Ovis aries: one gene and its partners. The protein of the gene in region 3 interacts with the protein of the main gene of each other region in a biochemical or structural test. Links are inferred from orthologs where the notes say so. Each region holds a gene or a part of one and is shown on either strand. Other genes may lie near its edges.

What was found.
Region 1: the proteins of EZR (region 3) and NHERF1 form a complex in vitro, tested with the Homo sapiens proteins (2 studies listed by BioGRID and IntAct). The link is inferred for Ovis aries from reciprocal best matches to the Homo sapiens genes EZR and NHERF1.
Region 2: the proteins of EZR (region 3) and ICAM3 form a complex in vitro, tested with the Homo sapiens proteins (2 studies listed by BioGRID). The link is inferred for Ovis aries from reciprocal best matches to the Homo sapiens genes EZR and ICAM3.

Annotation. Positions count from the first base shown.
Region 1 is NC_056064.1:55,965,108-55,970,207, forward strand, and holds the end of NHERF1 (Na(+)/H(+) exchange regulatory cofactor NHE-RF1), read right to left. Parts: intron 2,865-5,100; coding exon 2,824-2,864; intron 1,719-2,823; coding exon 1,629-1,718; intron 1,437-1,628; coding exon 1,242-1,436; 3' UTR 559-1,241; downstream 1-558. UniProt on the Homo sapiens protein: Scaffold protein that connects plasma membrane proteins with members of the ezrin/moesin/radixin family and thereby helps to link them to the actin cytoskeleton and to regulate their surface expression. Necessary for recycling of internalized ADRB2.
Region 2 is NC_056058.1:12,720,868-12,726,491, forward strand, and holds the start of ICAM3 (intercellular adhesion molecule 3), read right to left. Parts: upstream 3,724-5,624; 5' UTR 3,447-3,723; coding exon 3,365-3,446; intron 2,534-3,364; coding exon 2,267-2,533; intron 1-2,266. UniProt on the Homo sapiens protein: ICAM proteins are ligands for the leukocyte adhesion protein LFA-1 (integrin alpha-L/beta-2). ICAM3 is also a ligand for integrin alpha-D/beta-2. In association with integrin alpha-L/beta-2, contributes to apoptotic neutrophil phagocytosis by macrophages.
Region 3 is NC_056061.1:82,935,934-82,941,504, forward strand, and holds the start of EZR (ezrin), read right to left. Parts: upstream 3,465-5,571; 5' UTR 3,209-3,464; intron 3,017-3,208; exon of another isoform or gene 2,854-3,016; intron 1,972-2,853; 5' UTR 1,896-1,971; coding exon 1,884-1,895; intron 1-1,883. UniProt on the Homo sapiens protein: Probably involved in connections of major cytoskeletal structures to the plasma membrane. In epithelial cells, required for the formation of microvilli and membrane ruffles on the apical pole. Along with PLEKHG6, required for normal macropinocytosis.

The DNA of each region.
Region 1 (5,100 bases), on a different chromosome or scaffold from region 3:
CAGCCTTGGAAGGTCCCTTCCACCCCACCTGCCACAAGCATGTCCCAGGGCCCAGCAGGCCAGGTCTGTCCTCCCCATCCCCAGTCAGGTCCACAGCCAAGTAAGATGAGAGTATCTGGGGGGGTTAGGGACACCAGCTTGGGCCATGCCTGGGCATCTGCACCTCCCTGGCTGTGGGCAGAAAGATTAAAGCCAAGCCTTCCGTCTCCAAGTCTGGCTCCATTGTGGATTCACTCTTTGAACGCTCCTGGGATCCAAGGTGGGTCTTAGAGCCCTCCCTCTGCGCACGTGGGCCCTAAGCTCCCCATTTCCCTGCTGGTCATCCCTGTAGGGCAGCCCTAGTGAGCCAAGCACACAGGGGCCCCGGCGGGTCCTCCCACAGGACCCACGCATGGCCTAGCCACCCAGCGGCTACAGGCTCAAGGCCCTCTGGTTAAAGCCACCCCACTTCTGGCTCCGGGCTTGGGGTCCTAGGGAGCCCTAGACCATCCTCTCAGCCCGAGGCCACTCTGGGGACACGCATGGACAGAGCTGCAAAGGAACACACAGAGGCCAAGGTGGTTTGGAGAAACTAGTTGAATTTCGGGTAAGAATTTCCTTACAATTGTGTCTGGCTCAGGGCTGGGCAGGGGGTGGCCAAACCCTCCCCATGTTGCCTAGGTCTCTGGGGGGGTGGGGGGTGGGGCAGAAAAAAGTTGAAGGAAGGGTAAGGCCACTGCTACGTCCCGGATGCAACAACCTGGGAAATCATGTTAATCAAGAATTGAAAGTCCTTCTAAACTCTGTAGTACTGCACTTAAAAATCAAAAATAAGATGCCCAAGTCACAGCTCTGAGGATGGTGGCCCCAGTCCACTCCAGGATGTTGCTGTGGTCAGAATCCTTCCCTGGTAGATCCCAGACCTGGTCATCACTTGGGGTCAGGAGGGAAGGTGACCTCTCGCCCAGTCTTAGGATCTTTGCTCGATGGAGGTCCCAGTGACGTCCCAGGACAGTGGCAGGGGGACTGCAGGTGGGCTGAAGCACCCAGCGAGGAGGGGCACAGAGTCTGCTTTTTAACTGGGGCAGGACAGAAAAACAGTCACCTTGTCGGAGGTAAGGGAAGAGTATGGTTCTCTAGAAAGATCAGATTTGCCGAGAGAGGAGATGCTGGTGCTGATTTGTGTGCTGATCTGGGGGTAAGTGGGGGAGAGGGAGTTGGCTGGGTGTGGGACTGGGCTTTGCTGGTGCAGGGGGTGTGGCTCAGAGGTTGCTGAAGAGTTCGTTTTTCTTGCTCCAGTCCATCTGCGGGGCCCGTTTGCTGATGCGCTTCTGGTGGGCCCTCTCTTTGGCCACAGCCAGGGAGATGTTGAAGTCCAGGATGGGGTCAGAGGACGAGGAGGAGGTAGACGAGGGTGCTGTGGAGTCCTGTTTCTTGGGGCTGTCTTGGGAATTCAGCTGCAAAGAGGAGCAAGAGAGCGGGCCTCAGTGCCTCGGCGAAGTGCTCCCTTGAGGCCATGTGTGGGGAAGCCAGGTCACGAGAACAGAACGTGACTCAGCGTGTGACCTCCACGGCGGGCTGGTGTGCCAGGAGTGAGCGACGCCTGACTTGCTGTCACCCGGGGCCACCCCCCACCCACCCAGCCTTACCTCCTCGCTGGTGTCACTGGAGGCGGTTCTTGCCAGGGGTGGCACGGGGCTCTCGGAGGCCGTCTCGGCCAGGGCTTCAGGACTGTTCTCCTGGTACGGAGAGGAGGCATGTGGGTGGGCAGGCCTGAGCTACGAAGGGCATTCCCGGGGAAGACGGGGCCTCGGTCTGAGCCTTGCCATCCACCCCAGAGCCTGCCTGAGCCTGCCAGGGCCCCGCGGGGATTTACATTTTCACATTCTTCCAAGGATCAGAGGGCAGCCAGGTTCCACCATCCAGGGCAGTGGGACCATCCCTCATGGGACTAGCTGGGTGGCTCACACCGCCCCTGTCCTCCCAGGCAGCCTCTGGAGTTGACTCCTCCTTGGCACAGTGACCACAGAGGGGCCTCCTGGGGCGTGGGGGTGCCGGGAGACTGCTCGGTGTGGGGAACACCCGTGATGCCCCCTGAGTCTCCTACAGCCCACCTGACTTGTTTTCTTGGACTTGACCCCGGATTCTTGAAATCAACCCTCAAGCAGCCAAGAAGGGCTTCGAGGGAATAAGGTGGGGGAGAGTGAGAGACCCACAGGGAAAGTGACTGAAGGCTCAGGTGGTTCAGGGCCTTCTTGCTGCACAACCCCCCGACCCCGGCAGGAGACCCCAGGGAAAGGAAGCCTTAGAGCAGACCCCGAGGAGCCCTCTCACCCCATAGTCTGACCCTGAGGGCGCTGTCCCAGAGCCCAGGCCTTGGGCTGCAACTGGGCACTCCGCTTCTGCCTGGGTTCCTGTGGCCCCAGCTGGCACTGGGCTGCACCATCTCTCCCCCGGCCCCCACTGCCTCCTCTTCCCTTCGGCCTGGGTAGGAGGGGCTTTGTTCTCCCAACCCAGACTGGAAGTAGCAGGGCCTGGGCAGGCGGCGGGCAGACACTGCCGCTCTGTTCTTGGGGGGAAGAATGGCCTCCTGTGTGGTGGGGAGCTGGAGGCGGGGCCCATCACCCAGGATGGTGGCTGCGGAGGGCCTGGCCAGGCGGCCCCGTCCCCTCTGCCTCGGCCCCAAGCGGGGGCCCTTACACGGCCTGGGGCTCAGGAGACAGCTGCCAGGAGACACGAGGTTTCCACCTGAACCAGACCCTGTCCTCCTCCTAACCACGCCTCCTCCCCCACCTCCCGCAGCCCCAGGACTGAGCCCGAGAAGCATCAGGGCTCTGCCTTTACCTTCTCGATCTCCCCGTTGGTAATGGGCTCAGGCAAGGGACCTAGATGGGAAGAGGAGAGCGCAGGTGAGTCAGAAGCTGTGGACGGAGGGGGGCGCGGAAGGCGGGGGTCGTGGGTTTGGGTAGACCACTCGACCTTGTTCCCCAAGCTCAGTGTTTAAGTCTCTTGACTGCCCCCCACTATAGTACACCGGACATTCTGGCAACCCAGCAGCCTCAGACTAGCATTTAACAAAACAACTTGCCTTTACTACATCGCAAGGCTCTTTGATATTTCCTATTCAGATTGATTAAAAAGATGGGGGAGGGACGGCTGGGGAGCTGGAGATGGACATGTGCGCACTGCATATGTAAAGTGGAGAACTGACAGGAACTTCCTGCACAGCACAGGGCACTCTGCTCAGTGTTACGCGGCAGCCTGGACCGGAGGGGAGTTTGGGAGAGAATGGATACATGTATATGTATGGCTGAGCCCCTAAGCTGTTCACCTGAAACTGTTATAACATTGTTAATCGCCTACACTCCAATACAAAATAAAAAGTTGAAAAAAAAAAAAAAAGGAAGAAAGGTGCCTACTTAATTAATCCCAAGAACCACTGATGAGTAAGGAGCTGTTTGAAAAAAGCGCTGTTGTAGACAGGGTTGAAATTCCAGGCAGCTGCCTCCCAACCACCCGGGATGCTGGTTAGAAATACAGATCCCTGGGCTTTGACACCAAGGTGTTTATCTACGTGGGTCTGGGACAGGCCTAGGAATCAGTATTTTTCGAATGCTTCCTAGGTGATGGTTGTGTCAACAGAACTGGGACCACGCCCTGGTTATGATTATCACCTGCACCAGCTGCGAAAGAACCCCAACTCCTCCTGGCCAGTGTGGGGATGGAGGGGGCCCCAGGGCTCAGGGCAGAGTCCTGGGCGTGCCGTCCCCCAGCCAAGGGGGAACCTGGTGGCGACAGGTGGGGTCAGAGGGCAGGGACACGGCCTGGGGTCACCCTCCCAGGCCTTGCTCAGGGTAGACACCCCACCTGGCCGCAAAGGGGGCTATTCCCTCTCAGGTCAGCCTGGGTGGGTTTCTTCTGAACTCATAGCTTAAGGTCAGGGTACGTCTTTCTCCTTGCCCTGGACTGGGCAGGCACACCTCTCGTCCAGCCCTCCCACAGTGGCTGGGCAGGGGACACAGGGACCCTGACTCACCCTCCACTGCACCCGCTCACCTGTGAGCCGTGGGCTGCCCAGCTTTGGGCAGGAGGCAGTGGCTGGGGACGCGCAGACTTACATGCACTTGGGAGGGGGAACACCCTCTGATCAGAGGCTGCAGTCATGGAGGTTCCCAGGGCCCTTCCTCCCCAGCCAGGAAGAGAGAGGGTTGATGACTTGGGAGTCGGGGGAGAAGGGTGCTGGGGGAGTCAGGGGAAGGTAGAGGAGCAGCCAAGTGGAGTCCAGATTTCAGCTGTCTTCCCACACTGGGTCCTCCCTGGTGGCTCAGGGGTAGGAAATCTGCCTGCCAATGCAGGAGACCTGGGTTCCATCTCTGGGTCAGGAAGATCCCCTGGAGAAGGGCATGGTGACCCATGCCCTTGAACTCCACAGACAGACAAGCCTCGTGGGCTACAGACCACAGTCAGGTGGGACTGAGCGACTAGCACTTTCCCTTTCCCACACCACACTGCCAAGAGCAAGGCTGGGGGCTTCTCGGGGCCACAGCTTTCCCCCTAGTGAGGATGGGGATTATCAGACTTACCTGCTTTCCATGAACTTGGGAGACAAGGGCACAGTGGTACCCACCTCCCATGACTGGAGTCTGCTAGTGGCTTCCAGGATACCCCCAGGACCCACTGGGCCCCACCAAGCTGGCGATCTGAATTTGTGGCAAGACCTCTGTGTGGACCCCTGTGCTCCACATCTGACCCTCAAGGAAGCCCCACCCACTGCACAGTCCAAAGAGGTTCCACCTAGCGCCTCCCACCCCCTCGGGAGCTGTCTTCATCTTCCCAGGGAGAAGGTCCAGACCAGGGAGCAGAGCACGGCTCAGCTCCTCCTTGCCCTGGGCTGTGGCTGCCCCGTTTGGCTTGGGCCAGGGCGGGGGAGGTGCCAGGCTTGGCAGGGTGATGGAGTGGCAGGGAGGGCAGGGGCCCAGGGACCCACCGCTCTCTGGAGCCAGCAAGCCTGGGTTTCCAAGACAACCTGAGAGAAGGGAAGGGGAGGCACTGGGCCCCTGTCACTGGACTCTGATCTGACCAAGCCAAGGCTGGAAGCCGCCCCAGAGTTAACTGTTTCCT
Region 2 (5,624 bases), on a different chromosome or scaffold from region 3:
CAGAAACAGACGTACTCACATAGATATACACGCGGGCACAGATACCGACACACATATGCAGACACACACAGAGATACAAATCCAGGGGCTTCCCTGGTGGCTCTGTGGTAAAGAATCCACCTGCCAATACAGGAGACATGGGTTCGATCCCTGATCCGGGAAGATCCCACATGCCAAGGAGCAGCTAAACCTGTGCACTGCAACTACTGAGTCTGTGCTCCAGAGCCTGCAAGCTACAACTACGGAAGCCTGTGCACCCTAGAGCCTGGGCTCTGCAACAAGAGAAGCCATGAGAAGCCCGAGCACTCCAACCAGAGAATAGGCCTGCTCACCACAACGAGAGAAAAGCTTTTGAAGCAATGCAGACCCAGCCCAGCCAAAAATAAATAAATTAATTAATTAAGGTTATTTTTAAAAGGTACAAGTCCAGAGACACACGCAGGCACACACAGCATACAAACACATTTGTAGACATACAAGTACACTCACACAAAGATAAGGACACTCAGATCCACATGCTCACAGGCATATAGGTACACAACCATGAATACAGACACTGGTGCACACACAGGAAGAGCATACACACAGCTACAGATATACACTACACTTTTCTGAGGCCTCACAAAACCATAGGCACCCTGAGTGATGTACTCAGCTATTTCCTAGTCTATTGGGTTCTTTTGTTTGTTTATTTTTGGCTGCACCAAGTGGCTTGTGGGATCTTAGTTCCCCGACCAGGGACTGAACCTTGGACCTTCAGCAGTGAAAGTGCTGAGTCCTAACCACTGGACAGCAAAGGAACTCCCTGTCTTCTTTTAAATGCAGAGAAACTGGAAGGATTCATAAGAAACTGGTAACAGGGGGATATCAGGTCCAGAGAGGAAGACTTCAGCTGTGAAGAGCAGGGATTTGAGACCTGGACTCCAGGCATCTCTGCTCACGGACCCTGGCAAGTGACTGAGCCTCAGTTTCCTCTCTGTGAAATGAGGCTCATAAGTGTACCTCCCCAGCCCAGGCTTTCATAAGGGCTTTTGGGTGAGCACCTATGCGTCCACACTAAAAACAACAGCCACTCACAGCCCACACTAGGTAAATGGAGACTTGACACTGACCCCCCCTTTTTTTTAAATACTTTAAAATTTGGGAACCACATGAATTTATTACCTGTCATAAAAATAAAAGCAGTAAGGGATTTCCCTGGTGGTCCAGTGGCTAAGACTCCATCCTCCCAATGCACAGGGGTTCAATCCCCGGTCAGGGAACTAGGTCCTACCTCCTGCCTGCCACAACTAAGACCCAGTGCAGCCAAATAAATAAGTAAATACACACACAAAAAAGAAAAAGTAGGGACTTCCTTGGTAGTCCAGTGGTTAAGAATCTGCCTTGCAATTCAGGGGACACGAGGTCAATCCCTGGTTGGGGAACTAAAATTCCCTATGCCACAGAGCAACGAAGCCCGAGAGCCACATGCGCTCCAGAGCCCGCATGTCACAACTGCTGAAGCCCACGTGCCACAGTTAGAGTCTGTGCACCACGAAGAAAGATCCCGTGGGCTGCAACTAAGACCTAACAGCCAAACAAGATAAATAAATAACTATATTAAAATAAATTTTAAAAATTGAGTAAAAGACATGTCCTTTTTTTTGGCCATACTGAGAGTGTTCCATGGTTTTAGTTCCTTGACTAGAGATTGAACCCAGGCCCTTGGCAGTGAAAGCCTGGAGTCCTAACCACTGGACCACCAAGGAATTCCTGAACTATCATTTTTAAAATGCTTATTGGGCTTCCCAGGTGGCACTAGTGGTAAAGAACCCACCTGCCAATACCAGAGACTCAAGAAATGCAGGTTGGATCCCTGGGTCAGGAAGATTCCCCTGGAGGAGAGCACAGCAACCCACTCCAGTACTCTTGTCTGGAGAATCCCATGGACAGAGGAGCCTGGCGGGCTACAGTCCATGGGATCACAAAGAGTTGGACATGACTGAGGCAACTTAGCATGCATGCACACATACAAAATGCTTATTGAGAACCAAAGGAGTTGGTTTCACAGCTGCTGCTTTGGCATGCAGTTGAGATGTACCCCTCTATCTCTGACTTTGTCTCTCTCTCTCTCTCACACACACACCCCCAGTTCTGAGCTCTGACTGAGTGTCCTGGTCCATTTGTGCAAATTCAGGGCCCCAGCCCCACCTTGCTCCTCTGCACCATTGGTCATCTACCCCCACCACTGCCCAAGGCCATCCCACCTCCAGCCACGCCTACTCACCATACACTGTGATTTTAGAGAAACCCACCACCTGGGACTTATCGCAGAGGCCAGAGCAGAGAAGCTCTGTGTCACCAGTCACGTTGGTGAGGCGGAAGGCTGCCCAGCCCAGGCCCCTGCTGTGGTGCTCCTTGGAGAGGGCTGTCTCCAGGGAGATTAATCCAGGGCTGGGGCAATCTAAGCTGCAGTTTACCACAAGGGGCTTTCCAAAAGGCACCACTGGGTCCTTCGGTTCCACTCGTAACTGGTACGTCTGTCCCTGGGCACCTGCATGAACAGAGTCTCTGCTGGGGGCTCCAGTGCCCCCCAGCCCACCCAGCTGCAGGTTCCATCCTTCAACGCCACCCCCCCCCCCACTCCCACCAGCCAAGATAGGAAGGTCTCTGCCTTCGGCGGTGTTTCAGTTTAGTGGGAAAGACAGATGATGGATCAGGAACCAAGGAGAGTTGAGAAGGAGGCCAGGAGGAAGTGAGTCAGGAAAGGGTTCCTGGAGGGAACCACTACGGTCTCTTTTAAAGGGTCAAGGAGGATTTAGCCAAGTGAAAGGCAAGAGGGATCCTGGCAGACTGAAGAACATAGGCAGAGGTCATGAGTCCGGATGGAGCAGGGAGCGAATAAGTGCAGGCATGAGTGGTGGCTCAGATGGTAAAGCGTCTGCCTGCAGTGCGGGAGACCCGGGTTCAATCCCTGGGTTGGGAAGATCTCCTGGAGAAGGAAATGGCAACCCACTCCAGTATTCTTGCCTGGAGAATCCCATGGTTGGAGCAACTTGGTAGGCCACAATCCACAGGGTTGCAAAGAGTCGGACACAACTGAGCGACTTCACTTTCACTTTCACTTGAGTGTTTGGGTGGGTAAGTGTCTATGCTGTGAAGGGGGCAGGGAACAAGTGAAAGGCAGGAACCTGGCCTCAGGGAGCCCTGAAGGCTGAGTTAAGGAGCCACCATTTTTCCCCAAGGATACTGGGAAGCCCCCTGACAGATCTGAGTCAAAGAAGTGTTGCCGCAGCCCTGGGCAGCAGGGTGTGAGGTGCACTGTTCTCCTTCCCCTCCCCAGCAACCCCCCATCTCCAGCCCTCCCCAGCTCACTGGGCCTCACCTGTGGGCAACTGACAGCAGGCAAGAAGCAGAAAGATGAGCGAAGTCCAGTAGACCCTGGGCGGTGGCCCTGAGGGCATCATGGTGCTCAGCCTGGAGGCGGAAGTTCCCTTAATGAAGAGCTGTGCACCGGTGAACAGGCAGGACCTCCAGGGGAAGGAAGAACCGTCACTGCAGCTAAGAATGCAGCAGTCCAGGGGCCACACCTTGCCCAGGATGAGGGAAGGGTAGGGGAATATTTTATGCCACCCCCTGGGAGTCCACAGTGAGGGTCTCAGGAAAATGGAGCGTGCTGGCGAGTCTCCTAGGAGTCTCAGAGGGCAAACCTCGGTTACACTCCTTGTCCCCAGATCAACCCACAGGAAGCGCTAGTGCAAGCAGCTTCCTTTTTTCTCAGTACTGGAAAGCCTGGAGGGGGGCAGGGGTGAAAGACATCTCCCCTTCCTGTTGAACTTAGGTGAAAAAGGCTGTTTTGTTCCCAAAGAGGAAGTTAATGGGGATATCTGCACACTGGCCTTGAAGGAAAAGGGGTGGGATTTCGAGGTGACGTTTCAAGGAGGGAACAATGGGCAGACTTCTGGGCAGGGCTTCAAAGAGTTAACAAGAGATCTCAACGTTCCTGGGAGGCAAATAAACGATTTGGGGGGGGGGTGACAATGAAGGATCCCCTATGATGAGTAAAACTGTGACAGTGAACAGAGCCCACATTTACTGGGGACTTGTGCCGGGCTCTCTGTTGGCTGCCAGAGTGACTTCTATAGGCTCCTTATGTTTCCAGTTGTCATGTACAGATGTGAGGATTGGACCATAAAGGAGGCTGAGTGCAGAAGAATTGATGCTTTCAAACTGCGGTGTTGGAGAAGACTCTTGAGAGTCCCGTGGACTGCAAGGAGATCAAACCAGTCAATCTAAAGGAAATCAACCCTGAATATTCATTGGAAGGAATGATGCTGAAGCTCCGATACTTTGGCTACCTAATGTGAAGAGCCAACTCATTGGAAAAGACCTTGATGCTGGGCAAGACTGAAGGCAGGAGAAGGGGGCGGCAGAGGATGAAGTGGTTAGATAGCATCACCAACTCAATGAACATGAATTTGAGCCAACTCTGGGAGACAGGGAAGGACAGAGGAGCCTGGCATGCTGCAGTCCAAGGAGTCACAGAGTCAGACACGACTGAGTGACTGAACAACAAGTCTTTGAAGATCTCCGGGTGCTCTCCCATTGCTTGCATGCGGTGCTGAGGTGGAGCGTTTCAGGGACAGCTAAATCTTGAGCCACCGTCTGCCAAGGGGGATACTTTCAACTGAGTTCTTATCCCTGTCTTCATCCCTCTTGCCCTTTTCCTCCAGGTAGCTGGTCTCCTCATCCCAAGAGAAGGGACACGTGTGTGTGTGTGTGTGTGTGTGTGTGTGTGTGTGTGTGAGTGAGAAAGAGAGAGAGAGAGGTGGGCACTCCTACTCCATCAGCTCCCTCTCTCAGGCCTGTGACCTGCCTCCCGTGCCTCTGATCTGAGCTCCAGAGAGGGACCTCCTTGAGGACCTTGATAGCACTCAGGGTTCATCCACTTGCCCCATCCTTGAGGCCACGCCCCCTTCTCACCTGGAGTTCCTGCCCCAGTTAAATCTCTCCTCCCTTGCCCCGCCTCTGCAAAAGTCCACTTCCTACATGGTGCCAAGAGAGAAACTAACACCCAAATCAAAAGAATTTGCAAATCATATATCTGATAAGGGATTAATATCTAGATTGTAAGGAATTCCTGCAACTCAACCATGACAAACTCAATTCAAAAATGGGCAAAGGGGACTTCCCTGGTGGTCCAGTAGTTGAGACTCCACGCTCCCAATGCAGGGGCCCAGGTTCTATCGCTGGTCAGGGAACTAGATCCCACATGCTGCAATGAAAAGACCCTGCATGTCACAGCTAAAATCCGGTGCAGCCAAATAAATATTTTTTAAAAAATAAAAAATGGGCAAAGGACTCAAGTAGATCTCCAAAGAAGCTATACAAATGGCCAATAGACATGAAAAAAGATGCTCGACATCACGAGCCACTAGGGAAATGCAAATCAAAACCACAGTGAGATAGCACTTCCACTTATCACGATGGCAACCGTCAAAAACACAAAACAAAACAGGAAGTAGCAAGCGTTGGTGATGATGTGGAGAAACGGAGCCATTGTATTCTGTTGGCAGGAATATAACATGGTGCGACCACTGTAGGAAAGAGTTTGGTGGTTTCTCAAAAAGTTAAGCATAGAATTG
Region 3 (5,571 bases):
CATATCTCACTCATGTGGGACACCGAGAGGAGTCAAAGGCAGAGAGACAGAAAGGAGAGGGCCGGCTGCCAGGGGCTGGAGGGAGTGGGGAGAAGGAAGTTAGTGTTTAAAGGGCACAGTTTGGGACGAGGAAAAAGTTCTGGAGGTGCACGGTGGTGACCACTGCACGGCAATGTGCACGTACTTAACGCCACTCAACTATACGCTTAAAAAACACTGAGATGGTCAAGTGCACGTCATGTGAACTCCACTACCAAAAAACAAACCAAAAAAACACGAACGCCAGAAAAAGAACAAAAGCAAATTACAGATCTTTATGAGAAACAAAAGTAGTGACTGACAGGAGACAGGGATACCGACTGTTATCTGAGCGATATTTTAAAAGCTGAACTCTCAACATCATTTCTTTAGTGAAAGCCACACACCGGGAAAGGTTAAGTTCCTAATCACTGCTCTGAGTAAACCAGAACAGGGCTATGCCCTGAGTAAAGCACTATGTTTAGGTCCGTTTTATACCACAGGAACTGTAAAGCCTGAAGGTCATGTGCCAACTACCAACTGGAAATGAAAAGAAGAATTCAGTGTAGGAAAAAAAAACTGTCTGCATCGTGAATGAATCATCTTGATGATGTAACTGAGGCGAAAGCTCTACTGGCTTCTCAATCTGTTAGCCTATGAAGGTAGTAATTTATTTAACCTAACAGTAAAACAAAACTTATAAAGTACTCCTTTCAGAGAATCTAAAATGTGATGGTAGAAAACAAAACACATAAGCACTCACTACAGAAACAACTCGTTTGAAAAACTAGAAGGTTTCTCATAAACTCCATAGGTATATGAAGTTATGTATTTTATGTATGGGGTGTATTTTCATAGGAATCTTTTATTGTAATTTTCAATGAATCCAGATATTCTCGCCACTGGGATTCAAAACTCCAAAAATCTTCAATTATCTCCTCCCCAATTATCTGGTCACCAGTTCACCTGTGTTCAAGCTGGTAGAACAGATACCACTTGCTAAGAAATGCTGCTCACAAAAAAGCTGCCTTGTTCGCCCAACTTAAATGAAAGCCGTGTGAAGCCCAGGCTGGCCACCATCCCACCCGAGAGAGATTCAGGCGACACAAATCAGATTCGGGGAAAGTGGGTGTAAGAGGTGCGGGCGCAGCAGCGCTAGGGGGTCAGCTGATGTTTCGGAGGTGCGCCAGGAGCCTGCTTATCAAACTCCAGGGCTGCCTGCCTTCATCTGCAATTCAAGTTCATTACCAAAGCCCTCTCCGAAATAGGAATCCTGCTGTCACCAGCAAATTCCCGGGTTAACAGAGCACGGCTTCAGTAGGATGAACTGGAACGAGGCTGCCCCCAGAGAGAGTGCCCCCCACCCCCCCCCTTTAAAAGAGAGCGCCAGGGGAGGAGTTGGGGCGCGCCTGCTCCCAGACCCGGGAAGGCAGCGGGCGCGCGCCGTGGGAAGCCACCTGCCTCTCCTGCGACTCAGGCTCCTCTTCAGGAAAGAAACTTCCAGGTTGTCTTAGGACAGGGCTTTTCCACCGTCCGAAGCCGCCTAAAAGGCATTCTGATTTTTCTCAAAGATCCTAACCCCCAAGGCTCGGCGGCGGAGGGGGCTCGCAAACAAAAGGACCGTAGAGAAAAAAGCATCGCAATCTTGTTTTCTCCAAGAGTTCCACTAAGGGATGACGAGGGAGAAAGAGAGGAGACGATCCCCTCCCTGCTCCTGGCCTCTCGTCCGCCTAGAAAAGAACTCTATTCTTCCCTCCGCCCCCCCCCAAAAAAACCCGAAAAAGCCCCAAACCTTGCCCAGATAACTCCGCTTGAAAACCGTGCTCAACACATCCCGCCTTGCCCACACACACCCAGGGACTTACCGGTTTCGGCATTTTCGGTTCCGGACGGGTTTCCTCGCCTTCCTTGGAAACACGCTCTCCAGCAGCAGCTGAAACGCCCTTTCCCGACCTGCAGGCGGAGGAAGCCCAGTGAGCGTGCCCAGCAGCCCTCCTACCGATCCCACAGCTCCCGCCGCTGCCGCCGCCCCGAGACTCGGCGCCCGCCCCGCGCTGCCGCTTAAGAACCGGCCGGGCGGGCGCCACGATAAGTCACCGCCCAACCTGCAATTACCGCGGGCCGGGCGAGCCCAGCGCCGAGGGGGTGGCGGGGGGCGCGGCGCCGGGGGGCGGGAGCGCCGAGGCGGGGCCAGGCACCACGGGGCGGGGCCAGGCACCACGGGGCGGGGCCCGGGCGGTGGGGAGCGCGGCGCCGGGGGGAGGAGCTCAGGAGAGGGGTGTGGCCAGGGGCGTGGCCCGCCGGGGGCGGGGCGCGGAGCCCGGGCGGAGGGTAGGGCAGAGGAGGGCAGGGGCGGGGAGCACAGAGGAGGGGAAGGGCGGGGCCGGGCGGGGCAGCTGCTGGCTAGGGGTCTGGGCTGCAGGCAGGGGGCCGGGCCGGGCCGGAACCGGGGTAATGGGGGGCTGTCCGCCGAGGAACTCCTCGGGGCGTCCCGGAAGCCCGCGGGATCCCAGAAGACGGAGAGTTTCACTTTGTGAAGCAACCGTTTACCCTAGGGCTGAAACCGCAACCGTCAACCCTTTGAGAAATACTTTGTGAAAATGGTCCCCGCCCGGACGCGGGCGCGGGGCCCGGGGGCGCGTCCACGCAGCCCGGGCTCCGCCGGCGCTCCGGAATAGGGGCCCGAGGGGCCGGGCTGTGGCGCGGGAGGTCGCGCGGCGGCCACGCGGGCAGCCTCGGCTCCACCTGCCGCGTGTGTGGGCCGCGCCAGGGTCCCGCCGGTCCTGGGCTCCCGCGCCTACCGCCCCCTCGGCCGGGCTGCCCGCGCCGCCACACCTGTCGTCCTGTTCCGGCCCCTCCGCCGAGCGCGCGGCGCGAACCCCGCTCCCGCCGACCCGGGCCGCGCCCCGCTCACCCGCGGCTCTTGCAGAGGACGGCTGCGCTCCAAGCGATCCGTGCGTCCGAGCAGTGCGCCCGAGGCCCGCGCTCCCGAGAGTCCGGGGCGGGGCGGGGCCCCGGGGCCGCGCCCCTGACCGCCCCGCCCGGCCCGCGAGGTGCGGCTCGCGGGGAAGATGGCCGCGGGGACCCCGGGAGGGGGCGCCCCCCACCTCCCCCACCTCCCCCACCCTCGGAAAGACCTCTCCTCAACCCTTCTCTGTCCTTCCCCTCGCCTTCGGAGAACTTTGCTGACCTTGACTCAGCTCCCGAGGGTGGAGGAGAGGTGCGAGATCGTCCCGCGGTGGGCTGAGGGAGCGGAGGGACGTGTAAATAAGACTGCAGGGGCCGGCAGGCTGCCACCACGGAGGAGCGGGGCCTCTAGGGGTGCGGCCGTCCCCGTGGTCAGGTCATTTTGTCGTCCTCGCCCCCGGGGCCGAGACGGGATATTTTTTGAGAACCGGGGACCTGGGCCGCTGTGTCTCCCCGCGCACGTGGCCGCCTCCTCCCTCGGATTCCGCGATGATGGGCACAAGTATTAAAAGGCGCTCCATAGCCCAGCGCTCTTGGTTAAAGGACACACTTGTGGCCTCATTTGACTTGATTAACTCAAAGTTTAAGGGGGGGAGGGGGACAGAGAATAAATCTCCTTAGAAATTCTGGGAATTATTTTTTTAATTTTGTTTTTGCAAATGGTTCTCAAAAGGAATTAAACACAGACACGGACTTTGGTGGCCATTGGTATTTGTTGCGCAGCGATTAAGAGAGCTAACGAGAGCACTGGTTCTCAAAGCCTGCTTCCCAGACTAGCAATAACAGCATCACCTGGGAACTTGAAGAAATAGAAATTCACAAGTACTTCCCAAAACCTACAGAATTAGAAACTCTCCGCTTGGGGCCCAAAGTCGGAATCTTAAAGCCCTCCAGGTGATTGTGATGTAGGCTAAGGGTTGAGGCCAGAAATTTTCCTGAATTCCTTTCCTGGTCTAACTCCCTATTTGAGTTGAATAAGTTATTTAACACTTTAACATCTGTAAAATGGCATAATTATGGCACCTATTTCATAGAGTTGTTATGAGGATTTAAGGAGTCAAGGACTTCCCTAGTGGTTCAGACGGTGAGACCCACATTCCATCCCTGGGTCAGGAAGATCCCCTGGAGAAGGGAATGGCAACCCACTCCAGTAGTCTGGCCTGGAGAATTTCATAGACAAAGGAGCCTGATGGGCTCTAGTCCTTGGGGTCACAAAGAGCTGGACACCACTGAGTGACTAGCACAACAACAATGAGTGGATACATGTAAGATGCCTAGAAGAGTGCCTGAAACACAATAAGAGTGCAAATCTGCCCTGGCACAGAGAGCAACTAGTGACTCTGGGCAAGCACTAAACGGTAAGAGTCTCTTAGGTGATGGCACCCCACTCCAGAACTCCTGCCTGGAAAATCCCATGGGCGGAAGAGCCTGATAGGCTGCAGTCCATGGGGTTGTGAAGAGTCAGACACAACTGAGCGACTTCACTTTCATTTTTCACTTTCATGCATTGGAGAAGGAAATGGCAACCCACTCCAGTGTTCTTGCCTGGAGAATCCCAGGGACGCGGGAGCCTGGTCGGCTGCCGTCTATGGGGTCGCCCAGAGTGGGACACGACTGAAGCGACTTAGCAGCAGGATAGAGATACTAGTAGGACCCACTTCATGGGGTTGTAGGAATTGAATGAGGTAATGTGTGCAAAGTGTTTAGCACCATCCTGGCCTCTTAATGCCTATCCTCTCTTTGGGATGGACTGCTTTAGGGATAGCCCTTGTCTCCTATGACCCCTACCCCCACCCCACCCCTAGCTGCAGGTCCAGGGCATTTCAGACATCCAGGTGAGTAGGGAGGCCTTTTTTGAGATTTGGTCCTCAATTTGGGCAGGTCTGTTCCCTCTGAAAAAGGAACTTTTAAGAAGTAAAAATGTAAAGGGAACTGCATTAGTAAGGTAACTGAAAGGTATTTAACCTTCTAGTGATAAAACTTCAGGTTGGACATGTCATTCCTCCCATGCTCTATCTCCAAGTCTTATCACTGCCTGGAGCCTTGTTAGTCATTTTTGGTCCCCAACTATACTGATAGGATATGCCTCTAATTTTTTTTTTTTATCTCACCCAGGTTACAGTATTTTATTTTAACTGGATGTTTGAAATTGCAGTAGCCTAATACCTTCTGGAGCATTTCTACACTTTACCCTTCAGGGGAATACTAAGAAATGAACTGACCTGTGGCAGTGTTGTAAAAATGAAAAAAGATCACAGGTTTTAGAAGCACACAGAGCTAAGTCAATCCTGGTTCCAACTCACAAGCTGGTCATTTTGGGCAAATCTCTTAACCTGACCGAGCTCCCACCTCTCCGTCTGTAGGCTGGAGATGTTTATTTCATAGTGTTCTTGTGTCCCTGAGTCATACAATGTGAGCATTCAACTAACTCAAAGGCAACTTGTAGGTATAATTTTATGGCATAAGTTAAAATAGTACTTTGTAAATCAACTATATTTCAATTTAAAAAAATCTACAAATAATGCTGGAGAGGGTGTGGAGAAAAGGAACCCTCCTACACTGTTGGTGGGAATGTAAATTGGTACA